Linked DNA regions of Mus musculus. The protein of the gene in region 3 interacts with the protein of the main gene of each other region in a biochemical or structural test. Links are inferred from orthologs where the notes say so. Each region holds a gene or a part of one and is shown on either strand. Other genes may lie near its edges.

The links. The genes of interacting proteins can lie anywhere in the genome.
Region 1: the proteins of Notch1 (region 3) and Fbxw7 form a complex in vitro, tested with the Homo sapiens proteins (2 studies listed by BioGRID and IntAct, with this or other methods). The link is inferred for Mus musculus from reciprocal best matches to the Homo sapiens genes NOTCH1 and FBXW7.
Region 2: the proteins of Notch1 (region 3) and Numb form a complex in vitro, tested with the Homo sapiens proteins (2 studies listed by BioGRID). The link is inferred for Mus musculus from reciprocal best matches to the Homo sapiens genes NOTCH1 and NUMB.

What each region holds. Positions count from the first base shown.
Region 1 is NC_000069.6:84,812,592-84,820,620, reverse strand, and holds the start of Fbxw7 (F-box/WD repeat-containing protein 7), read right to left. Parts: upstream 5,045-8,029; 5' UTR 4,852-5,044; intron 1-4,851. UniProt on the Homo sapiens protein: Substrate recognition component of a SCF (SKP1-CUL1-F-box protein) E3 ubiquitin-protein ligase complex which mediates the ubiquitination and subsequent proteasomal degradation of target proteins.
Region 2 is NC_000078.6:83,837,300-83,845,295, forward strand, and holds the start of Numb (protein numb homolog), read right to left. Parts: upstream 5,045-7,996; coding exon 4,919-5,044; intron 4,625-4,918; exon of another isoform or gene 4,555-4,624; intron 1-4,554. UniProt on the Homo sapiens protein: Regulates clathrin-mediated receptor endocytosis. Plays a role in the process of neurogenesis.
Region 3 is NC_000068.7:26,468,117-26,475,501, forward strand, and holds part of Notch1 (neurogenic locus notch homolog protein 1 precursor), read right to left. Parts: intron 6,125-7,385; coding exon 6,005-6,124; intron 5,718-6,004; coding exon 5,565-5,717; intron 4,897-5,564; coding exon 4,668-4,896; intron 4,157-4,667; coding exon 3,955-4,156; intron 3,190-3,954; coding exon 3,036-3,189; intron 2,891-3,035; coding exon 2,706-2,890; intron 2,291-2,705; coding exon 2,158-2,290; intron 2,004-2,157; exon of another isoform or gene 1,943-2,003; coding exon 1,685-1,942; intron 1,602-1,684; coding exon 1,489-1,601; intron 688-1,488; coding exon 116-687; intron 1-115. UniProt on the Homo sapiens protein: Functions as a receptor for membrane-bound ligands Jagged-1 (JAG1), Jagged-2 (JAG2) and Delta-1 (DLL1) to regulate cell-fate determination.

The DNA.
Region 1 (8,029 bases), on a different chromosome or scaffold from region 3:
ATCTCATCTAGAAAACAAAATCCACCTGAAATGGCCAATCTGGCTTTCTAGTATAACTAGCTTACACTAGTAGATGCTGGTAGATTTAGCTGTCCTCTGCCAGGGAGCTATAAACCTCCGCCTACAGGCCAAATCCCATCTACTTCTTGTTTTTATGCATGAGATCTGACTGGAACAGTTATAACACACTTCCATATTATCTACAGCTGTTTTCACATGGCAGAAACAGCTGAAAGTTGTGACACAGTATGCTGACCCACACAGAAAGGTTGCCAACCCATTCTTTACGTCGTCCCACAAGACTTTTCAAAGAATCATTTTCAAAGTATATCTAAATGAACTGCTGATAACTCACACAGACTCTGGAGTCCTCTGGTACTAAGACACACAAAGATACAAAACTTCCAGCCTCTCATATAAATAGCATAACTATCAAGGCAAAGAATATTGATGTTACCATTCTCCATCAGAATCCCGCCATATTAGTAAATCACGTTAATCCTAAAAGGCTGTCTTTTAAATACACTTAAGCATGTCTTCACCCATGGAAGAAATGGGCCAAGTAGCAAAAGACCCCTATATTGCAGATATTCCAATCCCTATCTACTCACCCTAAAATAATTGTAGACCCACATCCTTGTTTAAAAATATCTATTCCAAGAGATTACTGCCAACTGGATGCTCTCTTAAGAAGCCAAAGAAAAACAATGAATTCAAACAAAGGATCATAATGATTACGTGTTTTTATTCACAATCTTTTATCCTTATCAAAGCCAATACCAAAAGCTAACCATAAAGATGCCTGAATAGTCTTTTTTGTTCGTTTTGTTGTTGTTGTTTTGTTTGTTTTTTTCAAGACCAGGTTTAGCTGTGTTGCTTTGGCTGTCCTGTAACTCACTCTGTAGACTAGGCTGGCCTTGAACTCAGAGCTACCTGGGTCAGATTAAAAGGCATGTGCCATCATTATCTAGCTTGGGTTTGTTTGTTTGTTTGTGTTGTTTAAATATTCCTAAATTGTAGGCTCTTTTTAAGTTTATACAAAAAAGTATCCCTAATACTTCTGTACCAACACAGGGATGTCCCCCCTAAACACACATTGTAGGGACACAAAGATGCACATTTCTGAAGTAAGAGAAACAGCCTTCCCTTTCATCAATGTTTAGCCCCACTTCATTAGTATTAAGACCAAGCTTAAGATTATAATAATGAGCCAGGCAGTGGTGGCGCACACCTTTAATCCCAGCACTCAGGAGGCAGAGGCAGGCGTATTTCTGAGTTCGAGGCCAGTCTGGTCTACAGAGTGAGTTCCAGGACAGCCAGGGCTACACAGAGAAACCCTGTCTCGGGGAAAAAAATTATAAAATGCAGGGAAACTGTAATGGCCTTCCATTTTATTTATAAGTTCCCTAACAAGGTCCTATGTTTTCTGAACTTATCTATCTCAGGATCTAAATGTGCTATTGAAAACCTTTAACTACTTCTAAAACAGAATCCCATGTCCTGGGACTGAATGGTCATTATGTTACAGACTGCTCCTCTTTCCAACTGTCATTCCCACTCACCTGCGAAGCTGATCTTCTGGGGACTGTCTCTCCTTTTGATAGCTGTGCTTATACCAACACAAATCTGCTTCAGGTCCCAAAATTTTAAATTCATTTTTCAGCTCTTAATTTCGTATCAGTAATCTCAGAAATATAAAGGCTTAAAAATGACTCCCATCTACCTACACTGTCAGCATATTACTCAAACTATTTTGCAGTCTTGAAAGCTGCACGGGGTAGGTCCTAAGGATGTAGCTCAGTTGGTAAAGTACCCGCCTAGCATGCACAAAGGCCTAGGTTCCATCCCCAGCACTACAAAACAAGAAATGGCAGCACACACTAGTACATTTAGCATTCAGGAAGTCCAAGCAGGGTGGTTACAAGTTAAAAGGTACACAACAAGTTCAAGGTCAGCCTGGCACAAGAGACAGAGACAAAAGAAGAGAAAGAAAGTGGAAAAAGTTTTAAAGAGAGAGGGAGGAAAAGAAAAACAATGAGCTAACACATGAACTGTACAGATACCTAGCTCTTAACCCCAAATTCAACATCCAAAGCAAAGCCTGCTACCCTGTTTCTGATTTACTCATAAGAAACTAGCATCATGCTAAAAAACATTCAAAACATTTCCTTTTTCGTGTCTCCTTCTGTGCTGCCCCCTAGATGACCATAATATAAAAATGTTAGTCTCCTAATGAAACAAAATCCTAAAGCCAGTATAATGTCTGTCCTAAAATATAATTTCTCCCAATATCCTGAAACTACCTTCTTTGGAACACTGTTTTCAAATTCTCTTATACAAGCACAAACTGACCTTAACTCTAGTCAGGAACTTCCCTCCCTCAGTAGGCATTCCTACCAAGCTAACTTCCTAATTAGATCTCATCTTTTACTTATTCTGACGCTAAGCCCTTAACATTTTGTTTGTGTATGTTCTTTTCTTCCTGAAAGAGCCTTTCCAAGATTTGGCTCAGACACTCCAATTATTCCTGGGTCATCCAAAATCAGTATTTCCCTAATAAAAATGTGCAACTGCATTCCCTGACACAGAGTGATCTTATGAGTAATAATGGTAATATATGTCCCCTTTCCTACATTTTTAAGAAATGTATTTCTTTTTACTGCTACTACACTACTACTACTACTACTACTACTACTACTACTACTACTGCTACTACTACTGCTACTACTACTGCTACTACTACTACAACTGTACTACCACCACATGTCCACACATACGACACAGGTCAGAGAACAACTCTGTATGGTTAGTTTCTCTGTCCACCTGTGGTTCTGGGCATTAGACAGACTCCACGTCCTTAGACTTGCAACAAGCAGCTTTACCCACAGAGCCTTCCCACCAGTTCAACCTTTCCTAAAGTTTTGTGCAATTTGTAGTTGGTTGTCTCTGTCACCCTCAAAAGACTGAAAATAGCAAATGTCTTGTTATTACTACATTCAGTAAAGTACTTCCATAATTTAAAACCAATTTACACACAAAGCAGGTCCTCTGATTAGATGCAGTACAAACTCAAAGTACCACTCTCCTCCTTTCCAAGAAGCAAACTATTAAAGTCTAAGTTTCTCAAATATCATCTTTTTCAAAACTGGAATATATGACTTTATCAGGGTAGCAAAGTAAGGTTAGCAGATCCAAAAACACGTTTTATTCTAAATCTAAAGTTAAATTTACCATTCAATATTTTCATACTAATTCCCACTTAAGCAAAATTTAAAGTGTCTCATGAAATCATATGAAGAACAAAGTATCTAACAAAAAAAAAAAAAAAAAAAAAAGGCTAGGAGATCCAAAAAGAGGGCAAAGTTATCCAAAGAAATGAGGGTTGGGGGAGGGAGCTACTCAAAAAAGCTGTGACGTGGCTGGCAGTCAGGGCACATACCTTTTAATCCCAGTCAGCACTCAGGAGGCAGAGGCAGGTGCATATCTGTGAACACTAGGCCAGCCTGATATACAGAGATAGTTCCAGGACAGCCAAGGTAACATAGAAAAACAGTCTTGAAGAAAAGAAAAGTTGGGACAGATGATAGTAGAGATTAAACAAAATCTATAAAAGCAAGGTAAGGTAAATTCACAGTGTTTTAGCATTCCTCAAACAAACTGTATCCTGAAAGATTGAGAAGGCTGGTCAAAGAGAAATACATTGCTATATAATGCAGAATGATAAACTTGGAGGTTCATTATTTAAAAAGAGGAGGGGAGAACAGGTCCCAAACATGAAATGTGAAAAACTTTCAAACAAATTTAATCATGACCCTCAATGGAGAAATTAAGATGGATGGATGGGTAGATAAATTGATACTCCCAAGTTTCTAGTCATTTCTACAGAGCATCTTTATTCTGCCCACATTTAGCTGTCTGGATAGACCAGAATTCCAGTCTTAAACTACTACCTATGTTCCTTGCTACATGAAATCCTACAGTACGTTAAGCCTTAGGATGGTCAGCTTAACCTACATATGTGAGCATTACTTTTCTATACCTCTAATTTAACACTCAGAGTGCTAAATGTTTTCCTAAAAGAGTATAAAGTCTCAAGGTCGACAAGTAGAGCCAAATAAAAACAGCTGCATGCATGCCCTTCCAGTCCCTAGTAGAAACCTAGTAAAAATGTGCTACCACTTAAAACATATTACTCCCTCTCTCCCTCAACACAGAGAGAGAGAGAGAGAGAGAGAGAGAGAGAGAGAGAGCGCTGCAGCAACTTTTACGAAATGGTAATTTATTAAGTGCTCTCCCTGAAATAAGTTTCAGTGGGTTGTGCATCTTAGGAACTCGGATTTTCCTGAGCCAACTGAAACATGCAAGCACCCTACACATCGGACTCTGTAGACCTGGGAAATAAAGCGTTGGGGGCACCAAACTCCCCTATGCACTAAAATGAAATCTGGTCTTCCCATCCAAGGCAACTTCAAAAACAATAGTTAGGAAAGGAAAAAAAAAAATTAAGGGTTGATTCAAGTGATTCCCACGTGGGAATCCATGGGAGTTTCCCTGAAACAAAAACCACTGCCAGAATAAGGTTGCCAGGAAAAGGCATGGGACAGAGCTGGCCATAGGCTTTCTCAGTTTAGTGTCCAAAAAGGTGCAAGTGTCCACTCTGGAGACACAGCTGCTCTAAGAAAAAACTCCGAGTACTTGCATTACTCCTGCAAACTGACACTTTCTCCTATTGGTAGAAAGGAAAGGTTTCCACTGCCAACCCTCCCGAGGAACAGCCGAACTCCAGCATCAAAGCACCCACCCGCTCCCACTTGTCACCTTATAATGTCCCCCTCCCCCGGGTCCACTCACGCTTCAGAGTCGAGCGGTGGCGCTGACAATGTGGCTGGCTCCCTTCCTCCTTCGGGCTGAGGCGGGCAGCTGCGGAAGGCTGGCTAGGCGCGGAACTGAGGAAGAAGCGGTGCTAGCGTCGCTCCACCAAGCAGCTACCCGGGTCTCTTCCGCGCTGCTGGGATAGAGGCGGCGGTGGCGGCCCCGCTCGCTCACCGCTTTTTCTCTTCCTGGGTCCCTGCAGACTGTGGTGGCTTCAGCCCGTCCTGGGCCACTTGTCCCGGGACAGTCACGATCAGAAAGCTCGAAGATTTTGTTTGGGTAAAGTTTCCTCTGGGCGGAGGCTGCAGCCGGCCCCCCAGGTTCCCCCCCGGCCCCACCGCCCTGGGGGGCTGGGGCGGGGAGGGGGCGCCGAGAACTCCTGGAGTCCCGCCGAGGAGCCGGGGTGCGGCGGCAGGCCCAAAGAGAAGCCCCCCCAGAGGGGGTGGAGGGGAGGGGAGGGGAAGGAGAGGACAGCGGCGCCGGGGCCGCTCACCACGCCGCCGCGGCCGTTTCACATCGGGGTCCCCGCCCCCCCGGCCCGGAGGTGGCTCCTGGGCTGGGGGCCGGGGTTCATACACTCCGCTATGGGATGCTACGGCCCCGGGCGGCTGGTGTGGACAGCGGCAAGGCTGGGGACCCGGCGGGCTCGGATCGGCGCCGCCCCCGCTCCCGGCTCCCGCATGTGTCGCGGCGGCCGGGACCCCCTCCCTACACCTCGGGGGGTCCTTCGTCCCACAGTCCGGGACGAGGCAGAAAGCCCAGCCCCTCGCGGGCGTCCTCTCCCGGCTGAGCAGCTACGAGTCCCGACCCGCGGCAGCCGCCTCCCTGCCCCCCGGCCGCGGGCTCCGGCTCGGGCTCGGGCTCGGGCTCCGGCTCCGGCTCCGGCTGGGGCTCCGGCTTCGGCGTGTGCAGCAGCCGCTGCCGGCCGGGAATGTAAGGGGGGGAGCCGACGGCGGCCGCGGCTCCCGATGGCCCGGGCTGCGGCAAAGGTCTTGGCGGCGGCCAGTGCACGGATGCCGGGTCTCTCGGATGCTCGCTCACTCACTCGCTCTCACGCTCTCCCCGGCGGCGGCGGCAGCGCCCGAAGCTCAGCTTCTGTCTCTCTCTCGCTCTGTGCGGGGCTCTCGCCTCACTCCACAGAGGGGCGGGAGGAGAGTGGCGCCCAGCGATGACGTAAGTCGCCTAGCAACCGCTCTCCTCCCCCTCCCTTCCCCTTCCTCTCTGCGCCTTCCTCTCCGGGCCTCTTCTCCCCATCTCCAGCCACCCCGCCCTGGGAGGCTGCGGCGCGTTCTGATGACGCACCAAGGGAAGAGGAAGTCGCGATCTGCGAGCGGGTGGGTGCGCCTCGGGCCGCGGGACTGCTGCTGCTGCTGCTGCTGCTGCTGCTACCGCCGCCGCTGCCGCCGCCGCCTCTACGGCCGCGTCAGAACTGAAGAGAGGAAGGGGAGGAGCCCAGGCGAGCCTAAGCTACCGCCTGATCTTACCCCTGACCCTAGGGCGGCGCGGAGAGGGAGCTCTGTCGCCGTTCCCTCCGGGGCAGGTGCGGACTGCTCCTCTGGGAATGAGGAGGCCCGGGATCGGGCTAGGGCGCGCAACACCCGAAGGTGAGGCTTTTGGCCCGGAGCAGATCCTGGAACCGAGAGACGGCTGGAAAAGTTAACCTACAGCCAGTGGCTGCACCTGCTCCCGGGAGCGAACGTCCCACCCTTCCCTTGGCGTGGGGTGAAACCTTGCGCCGCATTGTGTGTAGTAGTGCACTACGAAGGTTTGATGAGTGAATGAATGAATTAATGCCTCTAGCACAGCAATAGCGGGACTCAGAGGTGATAGTGGAAGCGCACGCGTTTTGTAAGTTGAAGCGTAGAAACAAGTTGTACTACATCTCCCTCCTCACCCCCACCCGCCCCCTGCCACGAAAGAAAAAGGATGCCGTTTCTTCAGAGTCGCAACTTCAGAGTTTTGTGGGAAAGGAGGCGAATTGGCAGGACTGGGGAACAGGGCTGAAAGAGAATCAACATCTAGGATATTATTTAGGGGATTTCTATGTTTTCAAGGGGCGAATGTAGTCGAGCCCCCTTTTAAAAGTAATTCTTGCTTGTTTGGATTTTTTGGAGCTTTTTAGATTTTGTCAACAGAGTGCCCCTTAACCATCTTCAAAAGAGTTTGGCGCCTCTCAGGTCTTTCTTCAAAGCGCTCTCGCGCGCTCTCTCTCTCTCTCTCTCTCTCTCTCTCTCTCTCTCTCGTGTGTGTGTGTGTGTGTGTGTGTGTGTGTGTGTGTGTGTGTTGTGGGGAGTATGTTATTAATAAATCTATTGGGCCGTTTGTCCTACAGATTCTGGGCTAGGAAATGTTTAAGGAAAAACTCATGAAATGTAAGCTGTGGTTCTCTAATAAAAGAATTTTCGAGATAAAAGAACTACAGCGCTCAGAAATCTGTTACGAACTTACTTGCCCTCCTTAGTGGTGTGACAGTGAGATTAAAGCAGCAGCAAAGATGAAGGGAAACAGTTGTGTGGCTGGACCCCGTCCCTCTGGAAGCTACAGCGATGGCTATCATAAGTGCTTCGGGTCTCTCCACCCTTCTTGGGAGATTGGACCAAACATGCTCTGTCCGCATTTAAGAAGCAAGCCCAGGTTTATGCCACGGCTGCTACCACTTCGTGCAAAGTAGATCAAGAAAATGCCTATGTTGATAAATCAAGGGTTCATTTTTGTTCAAAGGCTACAAAAACAAGAGTGAGTGAAGGGAAGAGGAGGATGCCACAAAAGCAAGGAGAGACAAGTTGCACCAGGTCCTTCTGAAATCCCAGGAGTCATATAACTTGCCCTAAGTACCCTGGGTTTGACTGTCTACAGACAAGATCCATTCACAGGCTGTATTCAATAAGATTCACAGGGAATCAGATCAATTAATAAACAGTAGGCCAGCATGGCTCCAACCTAATCCTTTTGTTGAACTCTCTTCCTTACAGTAGGAAGTAAAGAAATAAAATACAGGTGTATAGGGGTTTGGGAAGCTGAGCACCTCAGAGTCAGAGCTGTGCAGCCAAGGATGCTTTCGGAGGAGTGCACCATGCAGAGTGTCAGATCATCGCTGAGGGTCAGAGTGGCACTCACAAGAGCCCTGAGCAGCCTGCTCAGGAATTAAACTTACTGA
Region 2 (7,996 bases), on a different chromosome or scaffold from region 3:
ACAAAGTAGGCAATCAGACAGAGCTGTCATTCATTTTAGTAAGCACCCTCTCCCCCAAAGACAGGGCTTTTCTGTGTAGCTGTCTTGAACTCACAGAGACCCACCTGCTTCCGCCTCCCAAATGCTGAGATTAAAGGTGTGTGTGACACTATCCAGCCCCTAAAGTATACTTTTGTGACTCTGTATGTGTAGGTATAGGAGAGGGAGGTGCATGTGTCCATATATGTATCATGGTGCAAGTATAGAGGTCCAAGAACAACTTGCAGGAATCAGTTCTCTCCTTCCATGTAGAGATATTTTAATCCAGCAACACAGCTGTTTGGGCAAGTGATCATATCCAAAGAGACTTTCTAGGTCTATACAATTTGGCCTGACTGCAGACATGCCTTTAGTACATACCTTTAATAGCTTACAGTGAAGGTCAGGTCAGTCGGTAGAAGGAAGCAGCCATGTCTGAAAGTGACATTTAATTGAGGGGCAGGTAAAGTGACAAATCAGAGAAAGATTTGACAGAATGAGCCAGAGATAGGCTATGCTCAACTCACATGAGAACAGCAGAAGAAAGGCTACTTAGAAGCAGCACAGAGTGAGCCAGGAAGGGAGGACAGCTCCGTGAGTGCGGTTCAGTTGAATTCAGGCAACACAGTGTTCAGTTTCGTTGAGTTCATGTACTCAGTGCAGTTCAGTTCAAATCAGAGGCAGTTTTTCCAAGCAAAACAATTCCATGAGAAGCCAAGAGAAGCCAGTTTGAATTTGTCAGCTTGGAGAGGAGTTTTGAGCCAGAACAGCTGAGTTGAACCAGCCAGCCAGAATTTGGAAAGAACTAGAAAGGGTAAGCTTATTCAGTGGTAAGCCTTCAAGATGACAGTTACATCTGACAAATAAAAGTGACTTTTACACTTCCACTGTGTAGGTCCTAGAGATCAAACTCAGGTTGTCCAGCTTGGTGGTGAGTGCCTTAACCCAATCAGACAACTGCTCAATAACCTTTTTGCAACACACACACATTCATATTCATTCATATTCTCTCTCTCTCTCTCTCTCTCTCTCTCTCTCTCTCTCTCTCTCTCTCTCTCTCTCTATCTCTCTCTCTGTTCTTTTGAGACAGGGTTTCTCTGTGTAGCCCTGGCTGTCTTGTAAATCACTCTGTAGACCAGGCTGGCCTCCAACTCACAGAGATAAACCTGCCTCTGCCTCCCAATTGCTGGGATTAAAGCTGTGCACCACTACAGCCTGGCCTTCTTGAAATTTGAAGAATTAATAATAATAAACCCAGTCAATGATCACCAACGGCTGATGTTACCCCAAAATGATAACAAACTATTTTGTATGTTCAGGTAACAGTCCACCTTACCAGTGAAGGTAAGTGTGTGTGTTTGTGTGTGTGTGTGTGTGTGTGTGTGTGTGTGTGTGTGTGTGTTTGTGTTTCAGGGGGAGATAAAAGCTAAAAGATAAACCCTCTAAAATAAACAATTAAAACAAAACTTGTTAATAAGCAAGGTGAGTTTTTGGCATTTTCACTTCAGTAAGGGATTCAGGAACTACACGAGAGAAATATGGTCTACTGAGCACCCCATACTCTCAGATGAAACACCTAGAAAGTACATCCTGGGAACAGGAGGAAACCACAAGTAGAGAGCCCTGCCCAAGTGATACCCCACGTTTGTTTGCTTGTTTGGTTTTATGAGACAGGAAGTTGCCAAGGATGACCTTCAAGTCCTACCCTCCCTGCCTCTATTTCACAGATGCTGGGATCACAAGCTTGTGCCAACTATCTCTGCCCAGGCTTACTTTATTAAATTAAAATCTGTCAAAAATATAAGGAAAAAAATGAACAGGCAAAATATCTCAAAACAGTGACATGAACTTTTTGAACAAGATATTAGCATACAGAATTTAGCTATGCCTTCAAAACTCCTTAGTCATGATAAGCATTTATCAAATTGAGATTCCAAGAATGTACAGTTAGTTGATTTCTAGAATATAAAGTAGTGGTACTCACCTGTAGTATATGACTATAAAATATGAACACTTGGGAAGCAGAGGCAGGAAGGTCCTCTGTGAGAGCAGTAAGTGCTTATAACCTTTGAAACATCTCAAGCTCCAAATTCTGGTTTGCCTGTTTTTCTGGTTTTCTGATTTTTGTATTATATTTTTGTTTGTTTTATGTGCCTTCGAGAGCAGAAGTCCCATGATGCTATGTCTGCTCAACTCTTTAATGGTTTCTCATCTCATCTAAATATAAAAGTCAAAATCCTTAAGATGGAATTGGGCTTGCTAGTAGAGGTTATCCTGATCTATGTAGCAAGACTCTGTATCTCCCAACTTCCACCCCCAAAATGTTCTAGGCAAATAATTTTTCAGTGTTTAAGGACGGTAATGAGATCATTTGTAGGAACAATACTTCTAGCTAGTAGGCAAGGGCCCAAGAATGAATATATGACACATCTAATATTGGGCACTTGTAATATAGAAAAAGCTTACTCAGAGTATCTTTTACTGACTCTAATTCTATTTTAAATATGCACACATGCAGTGACTTTCACACAAATATAACTAAGTCAATCAAGAGAAGACTGTTAAAAAAAAAAAGATTAAAAAAAAGGGGGGAGGGGCTGGAGAGATGGCTCAGCGGTTAAGAGCACTAACTGCTCTTCCAGAGGTCCTGAGTTCAAATCCCAGCAACAGTGTACTCATATAAATATAATAAATAAATCTAAAAAAAAAGAGAGAAGACTGTACATGCTAGATACAAATTTTAGCAAAATTTACTTCTTCATATACATAATTGAATATAAATAGTAATTTAGAATTTATAAAGAGTATTGTATCAAAAAATGCAGCTAGTAGGTGTGATATTATTTGAAAGTACTGAACTACTGAATCTACCTTCTACCTACCTGCTTTCATGGCTCCCTGCTCCTCTGGTTCTATACAAGGTGGTTTTCTCTGTGCCCCTTACTATGCCAGGTGCCTCTTGCTGAAGAGCCACTCCACTGTTGCTCCCTTGGCTACATTCTGTTTCCTTCAATACCTGAAATGCTTATTTTCTGAATTTCTTTGGGTGTTTTCTGAAATGACATTTTGCCCCCTAATGAGGACTTCCATAACCAAAATATTTTAAACCGTATCAACCCCATTTATTTCTTTCATCCACAATTCCTTTCTGGTATAGCAGATATTGTTTTCTCACACTCTCGCATACACTACCATGAACAACACTAGGTAGAGATCCTGTCTGTGCTGCTCACTGCACTCCTGGTTCCTAGAACAATACTTGGTAGACAGCAGACATTCAGCAATTATCTGTCAAACATATCAATGAATCAATAATATCAAAGAGAAGAAACTGTAGGATATTCCTTAGATTGGCATTAAATTTAATGCCTAATTAATAATGAAAACTTTTAGAACAAGCTCAATATATAGGAGATATAATTACTATTTATAGAAGAGAATGTAAACATTAGTGAAGAAAACATATGTGAAGAAAATGAAATAAAACGTGAAACATGTAAAGAAAATGAAGTAAAAATATCTGATATAAATTTGAAAATAAGTGAAAGTATTTCTTTTTTTTATGATGGAACATCAAGATAATCATCTAGCATTGATGGAACAAGAAATTATAAGTACAGAAGACAAGAGCAGAACTAATGGTGGGAAGAGTTTAAAAGTGAAGACAAGAAGAAGCAAACAGGGCTGGAGAGCTGGCTCAGCAGTTAAGAGCACTGACTGTTCTTCCGAAGGTCCTGAGTTCAAATCTCAGCAACCACATGGTGGCTCACAACCATCTGTAATGACATCTGACCCCCTCTACTAGTGTGTCTGAAGACAGCTACAGTGTGCTTACATATAAATAATAAATATTCAGAAAAAAATAGAAGAAGCAGCAAACAAGCCAGTTAGCCCTGAATGGGAGTGGGGAGGAGAGGCGCTTCTTTTGACTTTTCTTTTGTTGGAGAGTGCTGGAAATAAACCCCTACCTCACTGAAAATGATTTAATTCTTGGTAACTGAGGATCTGTAGACGTCTCAGGACTTATGTTCTCATTAGAAGTGTTCTTACTTGGCCAGACCTGAGAGTGGAGGCTTCTGGGAAACCTCACTTACTCAGGAGCTGAGGAAGGACGATCACAAGTTCAAAGCCTACCTAAGGGCTACAGAGTAAGTTCAAGGACAGCCTAGATAACTTAGTGAGATCCCTTCTCAAGGAAGTAAAAAGAAGGCAGGGATGTAGCCCAGTGGTAGTGGGCTTGCCAAGCACACTCAAGGCCCATAGTGAGCTCCTAGGAGTCCCACCAACCCACACACAAACTGTTCTCACTTATACTTGTTCCAGATTATGTAGCACACAGCCTTATTTAAATAACTTAAACACAAAAAGAAAAATCACTAACTGCACAATGTATTTTTTTCTTATTTAATTCCATCACTGAAGCAGAATACGATTTTGGAAGGCTCCTTCACTAGCGTGAGTCATAGGATTACATATTCTATGGGCTATCAGTTTTTTGTTTGGTTTGCTTTTATGTTTTTGTTTATTTCCCCACAGAGAACCACAAAGATATGTGTTATAGTCTCCCCTCCCCCAGCCTGAAACCTGCTTGCTCAGGGGTGGAGCTTCCCGCTCAATCTTTCTGCCACGCCTACTGCTGGAACCTGCCGCTTTGCTGTTCTGAAGGCATCACGTGATCACCCTGCTACTGGATTATTTGGCGGGAATTGGGCCCCTCCCCCTTCCTTTATAACTGAGTGCCGAAATAGTAAAAATTGAACCTTGAGCAGAGAGCTTTGTCTGGGTTCCTTCCTTATCTCCCGAAGCCCAGCCCCTCTTCTCTTCCAGGTTTCCAAAATGCCTTTCCAGGCTAGAACCCAGGTTGTGATCTACTGGCCAGACACAACAATGTGTGTTTTACCTTAACTGGGAAGCTACACTTTCCAGTGCGGACTCCTTCTTCATCTGTCTGCCACTGATGTGGACGGCTGGCCTCTGGGACATAAACGTCTTTCTTTCTCCTGAAGCTTTGCCGTAGTTTGTTCATGTTAACTTTTACAACCTGAAGACACAGTGAAGAAATACCAAAGTTACTTCTTACACAAACTTCAGATGACCATTTTAGTACAAAACCCACCCCAAACCCTGAGGGCCCACACGAGGGTTATAGCTTAGTATGTTAGCATACTTCCTCTCGGAGTGACAGTGAGTCTAAAACTGCTCTCAGTCCGCTTTTTAAAGACAACTACAGTCCCCTCCAATGACAACTGCCCCAACAAGGGCGGCGTTTAACTTCTCACCTGCTTGATACCTCTCAAATGCCGGGATTACAGCCATGCCCTACTGTGCCTCAGTTTGGTGCTAAGGACTGAACTAATATTTTGTGCCTGCCAGGCACACATTTTGCCAACTGAGTTAGTTACATGCCCAACTCCCCATTCTTTCTTCCTGTGGCCTTATCTACCAATGTTACCTCTTTAATATCTAATTCACTCCATGCCCTTTGTCCCATGATTCATTCATTCTCAGACTCTTCCCCACCCCCTTCATTTGTAGCTATCTTTATTACTACTGGTAGACAAAAGAAAGATTCAAGTCTTCCTGATTTGATGGATATTAGGTAAGAGCCAGGAGAGCTCATGGTGCTTGGGTGAACAGTCACTCTTTTTCTAGTCTGTAGGGCAAGCGATTAAAACTACAGCCCCGCACATCCCAGGCAGGCAAGCACTCTGTGTCTTGGAGCCTTTCCTGTCACTTTTCTCTCTTCCTCTCTGCTCACTCCTCATGGAACCTGGTGGGGATGGAACCCAAAGGCAAAGCCACCTCCCCCAAATCCCTGATTTTTCTTTGTGGTACCTTTGCTTAATTACTGTCTCAAACTAAAACATGTCTTTGTTTACATTACCTACCTATTCCCAGTGAGGTAAAGTCTGCAAGGACAGGATACTGTCCTGTTCCCTGTTTATGCCTGCCTTCCTGGAACTGATCAGTAGAGGAGTTGCTCACATATACTTACTGAATGAATGCTGTTCAACCAACACTCACGATTAATAAACCATGCATGCCTGAGGTTTGGGTCACAATCTAGCTTATGTAGTAACTGGGGCACCCTGTAAGCTTTACAATGAGACAGACCTGAGTGAATGCTGTGCTGCCAGAGATGGTGATGTGACTGATGCAAGTAAACGGAAAGTTCTAATCCTTAGTTTATATGTCTGTCAGATATGGTAGTAACTGTTAATTCTCAGGGTCACTGTGAGGGTCAGAAATAATGTTACCTAAAGCAGCTAATGTTTCAAAAGGGAACTCTTGTTGCTGGGACTGGCCTTGAACTCTTGATCCTCTTTTCTAAGCCTCTCAGGTAGACAGGCCTGTATGTGGCCAGTGTTCAAATCAACTATTTTGAGACTTTTTTGTTTAACTTATTGCAAAAGGCCATTACTTAGACTGCTTCAAATAAAGGCCCATTTCATTCTAATCTGGTCTGACTACTGTTTTCTAAAACATCAATCTGACTGTACAACTACTCTACTTTAAAATCCTCTAATTGGCTCATATCACCTTCAAAGTGTAAATGCTCAGCATGGCAAACACAGTCTTTTTTTTTAAATTTATTTATTTATTATATGTCAGTACACTGTAGCTGTCTTAGACACTCCAGAAGAGGCATCCAATCTTGTTACGGATGGTTGTGAGCCACCATGTGCTTGCTGGGATTTGAACTCAGGACCTTTGGAAGAGCAGCCGGTGCTCTTAACCCCTGAGCCATCTCACCAGCCCCAGCAAACACAGTCTTATGCGGTCTCTTACCAGCCCCCATTCACATGTTAAGTTCCAGCTCCATTAATCTACTTACAGTCCCCTACAGGCAGGCTGTTTTCAGTGCCTCTCTCTACATGGAAAGAAACTATTTCAGTTTGCCTCCTGTAAAAGTCTACTCATGTTCAGTGCAAGCTCAAGAGACGCCAGCATTTAACAAAACACTCACTGTTGTTGTTCTGAGAAGTCTTTACTTGACCTCGGTCCTTCTACTTTCACGTGGTTCCATTTAAGTGTTTTGCTGACTTTTATTACTGTACATTAGAAACTGGCACATTTTCTAGTTCCTTAATAGTGAGCTGTATCCTACTTGTTTAAACAGCACCCATCCCTGAATTCTAATGTGGTGCCTGTCTGTCCTTGTATGACATACTGTAATTTTGAAGAAACAAACAACCAACCCCCCATAACGCTGAGACTACTTTGTAGGTAGAAGACACTACGAAATGATCAGAGCTGGAAAAGACTAGAGATGTCAAAGCCCACTGACAAAGGAGGATTACCCCACTGTCTAGACTAGGGTACTGGCAGACTCTATTCACTCTCTGGCACAGATGTATTATTGTAGCATTTTTGGTTGCTAAATAACACGGTGAAAATATCCAAAAAATTGGTGTTAATATCTTACCACTTTTAGTACTCAAATGGTTTGCCATCAGCATTTCTGCCACGATTCCTGACTTATGCTTTAAGTAACCACAGGACTGCAGTGGAAAGGCCTAGCAGCCATTGCTTGTTTAGGGGGGAAAGTTAATGAGTCTGAAGGATTGGACACAACTCTTAGGAAAGGCTTCAGGTTCCCGTCACATATTCATAGAACTATTTTATCAGATTTCCATGTAAGAAGTTTAAGGAAAAGGTTTTCCAACTAGGGCGATTTAAATAGTAATGACAAAACAGTCCTAAAATAAATTTGCAAGGTAAAAGTATGTAATTATGTTATCTTGTTTGTTACCTCTTAATAACTATTACTGGCCTAAGGACAAAGGTCCTAGTTGAACATAGGCGATAAATATATTTTTAAGTATAAGAATTGAGATAGCTAGGTGTAGTAACACACACCTTTAATTCCAGCATTGGGAGACAGAGGCAGGTAAATCTCTGTGAGTTTGAGCTCAGCCTGGTCTACATAGTGACTTCCAGGACAGTAAGGGCTATACAGAGAAAGCCTGTCATGAAA
Region 3 (7,385 bases):
CTTGGCGACTCGCAATGGGCAGGGATAGACATTGGCTTCAGGAGCCTGGTGTTTGGTTAGGTCCTCCCGTAGCATCCTGAGCCCTGGGACTCTAAAGAAACTCAGCCTTACTTACTTGCACTGTCCCTCGGTGAGCTGGCAGTCGAAGCCATCAAAGAGGCAGCCGGCCGAGTTGCACTGGCTGTCACAGTGGCCGTCGCTAAAATACTTCCAGCACTGTAGAGACTGCGTGCAGTTCTTCCAGGGGTCATTGAAGTTGAGGGAGCAGTCGCCACCATCCCAGCCACATGCGTGATTATTACACTGCAGGTTGCAGACCTTATTGCCTGCATCCACCTGGCACTCAGGCAGCTCACAGGCCTCCTCAATCTGCGGTGGGGGAATGTCGCGCCCAGCGCCACCTGTGAAGCTGTAGTCCAGGATGTGGCACAGTAGCCCGTTGAATTTGGCAGGGCATAGACAGCGGTAGAAAGGGTTCTCGGATGTGGGCTCACAGGTGCCCTGATTGTAGCAGGGGTTGCTACCCACACAGGGGCTGCTGGCTGGGAACTGGCACTCAGGGCCGGTGAAGGATCCCAGGCATAGGCAGGTGGGACTACGTGGGCCCGAGATGCATGTACCACCGTTGAGGCAGCGTAAGCTGCCACAAGTGCGGGCATCATTCTCACATGTGGCACCCTCGAAGCCCTGTGGTGGAGAGAGGATGGTGCATTCAATCAGGGACACCATGCACACCCCAGCAAAGACCTGGCCCCAGTCTGTGGCCTGTGAAAGGTGTCTATGGCCTTGCCCCAATAACAAGACCCTTGAAACATCTCACCATAGGATGGTCAGGGTTGCCAAGGGCTTCAAACTGGAGGGATAGGTGAATGGGGAGAACCCTAGGAGTTTTTAGAGCCATGAAACCCAAGGCTGATGCTGGTACATTGTATGTGTACAGATCCCTGGATGTCAACACCCAAGAGCAAATACTGCATATTAGTGCCAGCTCAACACCTTCCACGCAAGGCAGCAAACATAGGGAACGGCCTGCAGGGTGGGGACCTGGCCCTCTTGCTAAGTTCTCATGCAAACCTAAAACCGCTCTAAAATAAACATCTATTTAAAAAATTGGGCTAAGACACAGTGGCAAAACACTTGCCCAGCATGTGTGAGGTTCCCAACATAGCACAGCAGGAAATAAACTTTTTAAACAGGGTCTTGTTGTGAAGCCTAAGGTACCTCAAATACAAGGCAATCTTTCAGCCTGAGGCTGCAGAGCACTGGGAGCAAGGCATGTATGGATCGTGCCCGCTCGGGTTTTATAAACGAGCTGGGGAATGGACACGAGGAAGCATGTGGCTTGGACCCTAGCCTCTGCTAGAGGTCTTCAGGCTGACTATTCACAGTGAGGGTGGGTGGAGGACAGATCCACCATAAGAGTCGGTCAGGGTTCAGGCACCCTCAGACCTGGCACCCTTGCAGCCGCACAGGGCCAGGGACACCTACCGCAGGGCACCTACAGATGAATCCACGGGCGGTGTTGGAGGCCACGGCACAGACACCCCCATTCTTGCAAGGTTTGCCCCTGCAGCCATTGATGACTGACTCACAGCGGCGTCCTGTGTGAAGAAGGGACAGTAAGGAGCCATCCCTGTTGACCCTGCCCACCCACCCGTTCGACCCACCTGCCCAAGGCACGCACCAGTGTGGCCAGCCCGGCACTCGCAGTGGAAGTCATTAACACGCTGCACACAGTTCTGGGTGCCACGTGGGTCACAGGGGTTGGAGAGACATTCATTGACATCACCCTCACACCGCTCCCCGACGAAGCCTGGTGGGCAGGTGCAGGTATAGCCACCCACCTGGTCCACACAGGTGCCATTGTTGAAGCACTTGGGGCTTCGGGAGGCAGGGTCAAGGGGGGGATGGCAGTCATCAACATTGATCTCACAGTGTACACCTGCAGAGTGACCAGAGACACCGTCGGATGATGCTGACTGTGCTCTGTCCTGTGCAGCCCAGTCCAGAAATCAGTTAGGACCTGGGGCCCGGGGGAGGCAGCACAGTGCCACTGGAGCCCACCTCCCTTCTGAGATTCCTATTCCGTGGTCAGCTCTCAATCACCTGAGTGATCTCTGGCTGGATCCTGCCCATCATCCAGGTCCCTACCCTTACCCTGTGTCCCCCGGGGGCAGGAACACTTGTAGGAGTTGGTCAGATCAATGCAGGTACCCCCATTCTGGCAGGGCTGGGACAGGCACTCGTTGATCTCCTCGGAGCAGTTAGACCCATGGTAGCCAGCCACACACTGTAGAAATGGCACAGGTCACAGCTTAGCTGGGGTTGTGGTATCATGTCCTCCACTTGCCATGCAGGCCATATACCCAGTTAGACTACACTGTCCCACCCTGCAGCGAGGGCTCCACCCAGTAGACCCCAGTAAGTTAAAATAAGTGTCCAAGGTGTGTGTGTGTGGGGCAACACCTGGTCCCCCAGGGATGAGGTCTTGGAGCAGGTATTAGGTACCATGAAACCATATAGGAAAGGGGTGCCCTAAGCCACTGCTTGGCATAGTTCTCCTCCTTCAGCACATCTGTAATGTGACCGGATCCTGCACAGGTATGTGCTCAGTCTGCCATGATGCACTAGCTCCCAGTCAAAAGCCCTCCCCTGCAGCAACACTCACGCTGATACCCTCCCCGCCACCCCATGACGGCCCACACCTTGCAGGAAAAGCCGCCGAGATAGTCAGTGCAGGTAGCTCCATTCTGGCAGGGGTTAGGTGAGCACTCGTCCACCTCGTCCTCACAGTAGCTGCCCGTGTAGCCTGCCTGGCAGTGGCAGTAATGTTTATCTCCCTCATCCACACAGAGCCCTCCATGCTGGCACAGGAGAGTGACGTCAATGCCTGTGGGGACAAGACGGGAAGGAGCTGAGGCCTGGGCTGAGCTCTCGGGACTACTGCCCATTGTCACCTGACCTGGCAGGCACCGGGGCACTCCTGGCCTAAGCTGAGCCTGAGCAAGGACAGGTGGGCCCGGCCGGTTGGTTACCTCGCTTCTGTGCAGCCACCTCACAGGACACACTGAGCACGTCGCAGTTGACGCCAGTCCAGCCGCTGCGGCACTCACAGTGGTACTGCGTGTTGGTCTGCCAGCACCTGCCACCATTCTTGCAGGGAGCCGAGTCGCACCAGCGCACAAGGTTCTGAGGAGACAGGCGCTGGTTAGCTTCTCCCTGACCAACTCTGACTGCTAGGGCACCCTCCTGCCCTGGTCCTGGCTGGCTCTGAGAAGCACAGCAGTTCTCAGCCTTCCTAATGCTGCAGTCTTTTAATATAGTTCCTCGTGTTGTGGTGACCTCCAACCATAAAATTATTTCATTGCTTCTTCATAACTGTAATTTTGCTACTGTCATGTAGCAAAAATATGCAGGATATCTGATATATGACCCCTATTGGGGTCATGACCCACAGGCTGAGCGCCACTGGAATAAGGCATTTTATGCTCTGACTTCCCCACCCCCACCCCCACCATCTCAGAAAGAATATCACCTAAGAAATCCCAGGCACAGGACTCACAAACACTGCCCGCCCTCCGAACAACATAGGCCTGGGCTCCACGTCTTCCTTGCTCTCTTTCAAGGCTCTCCACAACCCACTGGCTACCTCCCCTTGGACATCCTCCACCAGAAGTGAGCACTGCCCCAGGCTGCTTCAGACAGATGGCCACATAATGCACTCCACAGAAGAGCCTGGCTGGCACCCATGCCCACCTGTCTCCCTCAGAAGCACCCAACTTGGCATTTTCCCAGAGGATGTGGGTTCATTCTGGCTCATCAACCAATGATGACACCAGGGAGCCTCTCTGCTTCTGTGTCCCTGGCCCTCTGAAGGTAGTGTGGCCCAGGGCTGGGCAATGGGCACTGGAGAGCCCTAGGCCTTCTGGGTCATACCCTGTAACCTCAGCTCACCTGGCAGTTGAGACCAGTGTAGCCCTGTGGGCAGGTACACTTATAAGTACCATAGCTGTCTTGGCAGGTACCACCGTGCAGACAGGGCCGTGAATCACACTCATTGACATCATACTGACAGTAGCTGCCCGTGAAGCCAGGTGGACACAGACAGGTGAAGGAGTTGATACCATCCACACAGGTACCACCATTGAAGCAGGAGCTAGAGGCAGATGAGAAGCAGGGAAGAGTGAGGAGTTCCCTAAGGTCCTTGCCAGGAGAGACAACTCCATGCCTACCTGGCCACAATACCCAAATCACGAGCAGAGATTTTATAGCATATAGACACGTGGTGGTTGAGAAAAACAAAATCAAGGGCAAAATAGGAACACTATAGGAAGCGCATCACAAACCAGGCTTGAGATTGATTTAACTCTAAGCTTCCTGGCAACCAGGGCAAAAGGGGAACTAAGACAGATTACAAAGCTCTTGTTTGATAGGAGGCTAGTTCCCCAATTCCTCTGCACAAACTTCCTTGTTCTAAGTCACTGGAGGTCACAAAGGCCCCTTTAGGAGGGATACTGCAACATAATGAACAACGCTGGATTCAGTTCAATTAGTGCTGTATGCCCACTGGGTCTGGGCAAGACACCAGCTTGAGATGCCATGCTGTCAAGACTTTGTGTCTTCCACAGTCCATTTCTTTCCCTGTCTCAGCTGAGGCTGGGACCCACCTCTCAGTACAGTCAGGTGTGTTGTTCTCGCAGTGGATGCCATTGAAGCCCACGGGGCAGGTACATGTGTAGCTGTCCACACAGTCAGTGCAATTGGCACCATTTTGGCAGGGATTGCTGGCACATTCATTGATGTCCTCCTCACAGAAGGCACCCTGGAAGCCGGGCAGGCAGTCGCAGAAGGCTGTGTTGATGCCATCGGTGCAGGAACCCCCATTGTGACACGGGTCTGGAGGGACAGAAAGATGAGCCTTAGGTGGCCACTGGCCATGCTTCGGGGACCTGATGCTGAGAAGGTGGTATGGGGTGGCAAGTGCTCACAGCAAGCCTTGATGACAGTAGTCAACAGGGGCCCATCCCAGCACTGAGCCTGGAATCTGCTCCGCATACACTTTTTCCCTCAGGCCCAAGGCAGTCATAGGGAAGCCCATTCCCCTACACACACACTGATGGTGCCAGGCAGAACCTCCCTCAATCTCTCTCTGCCTTTAGCTTTGACTCAGGATGCAGGGCATCTCTAAAGCCCTACACAACTCAATGGGTCCTGACAAGGGCCGAGTGTCAAGGTTGAATACAACTAGGCCCCATGCCATCATTTTGAAGTGCCTGGTGCCTCTGCTCCATATCACTCAATTGGGCTGGGAAATCTAGCAGCAAAGCCCGTGAGAAGCACACACTGATGCTCAACAGCCTCCTCCTGGCCTGTCTAGCCTCTGGCCTGTCTCTTTTTAAGGCACAGGCAAGTGGACTAAGCTGAGGGCACAGCTATCCACAGTCCTTCATGACTGCCGGGCACCAGGGCTATTTTCCACCTCAGACTCTCAGCAGCTCCCTGTCATGTGTGCTTAGGAACAGAGGCACCGAAACATAGGATGGACAGAGCTGGGTACCACTTACTGGGGCGGCAGTCATCGATGTCACTCTCACAGTTGCGACCTGTATAGCCGGCCTGGCAGAGGCAGCGGTAGCTGCCATTGGTGTTCTGGCAGGAGGCCCCATGGCGACATGGGCTTTTCACACACTCATTGATGTCAACCTCGCAGGTTTGACCTGTGAAGACAAAAACTCATTTGGTTACCTGCCCCCACCCTCTGAGCCTCTGTCCTAGCTGGTCTGTTTATCTCCAGTGCTTCTCCCCTGACCTCTGGGCAACAGAAGGATATGGAGTTGGAATGGGAAGGACCATCTCCTGCTCCCAGAGCTTCCCAGAGCTTCCCAGAGCAGGTAGCTCAGCATTGATGGGCTCCTTTCTCGAGACTGCCCCACAGGCTGGCCAGGGCCCCTGACTTCCCATCCACCATCCTTGTCCCAGCCTGGTGGGACCAGGCAAGCCTCACCTTGCCAGCCTGTGGGACAGACACAGGAAAAACTCTCATAGTCTTCAGACTCCTTGCATACCCCGCTGTTTTTGCAGGGGCTGGTAGCACATGGGGCCAACACCACCTCACACGTGGCTCCTAGAAAGAAAGATTTGTAGAAGATAGAACCCAGTGAGCCTGGCCCATAGGGTCTTCCATAAAGGGGGGCGGGGGGTAGGTATAGGAGATGCTGTATGATTGGCCAGCCAGACTCTGATCCCGGGAGGAATGACGATTACTGACAGGAGGTTAGAGATAAAGCAGAATCAAGTTTCTCTCTTAAGTCACTTTTTTTTTTTTTTTTTAACGAGCATAGTATATTGCATGCAGGTGTGTAAGAGTGTATGCAGAAGGAGAGACGGATATCAGGTGTCCTCTACCAACCCCGCATCTTATTCCTTTGAGACAGAGTCTCACTGAATCAGACGCTTTGCCATCTTAGCTAGGCTGGCCAGCCAGAGAGCTCTCAAGATGTCTCTGCTCCCAAATGTTGGGGTTATGGGCATTTAGAGGTACCCTGTTTTCATGAAACAGGCTTCATGTTTCCACAAGCACTCTTTCTCCATGAGCCATCTATGTAGTCCCGGAAGCCATCTCTCATCTCCCAAATGCTCCACGATGAAGCCTGGGCCTTGCCCAACCAGAAAACCTCAAAACAAGACCCTACTATAACAGGTGGTTGAGCCTGGAGGAACCTGGCCTGCTCCCCATTCCAGGAAAATCCTTGAGCTGATTCTGAAGCTTTAGGTCACAGCAGGCTCACTCCTGAGACAGAGCTACTGTGGCTACCCCAAGCATATCCTACTTGGGGAACATGGGGTGCAGCCTCACACTAGGGCAGTGAAATCTGATAACCGCTTGGGGGAGCCACGAGTAACCCAGGTGACTCTCCTTGCAATCCCAGTTAGCTTTCCTGTTTATGGCCATGGTTGGCTCCAGGAGCTAAGCAAGGAAACCTTATCTTCCTTGTCTCCCACCATGTCCCCAGCCCACTGGTGAGACTCTCCAGGGCCTCTCTCTCTATCGGTTTCCACGGTGACCTGGGCAGACAGGAACTTTGACAGAGTTTCCGACAATTGTGCAAAGGGAAGCAGGAAGCTGGTCAGCGCGGCTTGACTCCTCCCGCTAGCCCCGATAGCAGCAAGACCAAAAGGAACATGGGGTGTGCCTGGCTGCTGACAGTTTCCTCACTGACCAACACAGGAGACAAAATCCAGGCCCTTTAACTTTGTCAAAGAAAACAGCATCCTGCCAGGCATCATAGGAACACTGGAAGGGCCTCCACCTTCACAGACCCACTTGCTATGTCCAGAACCTAGCAGCAGCAGCATGAAGCCACCAGTACTCTGTGGCAGTATTT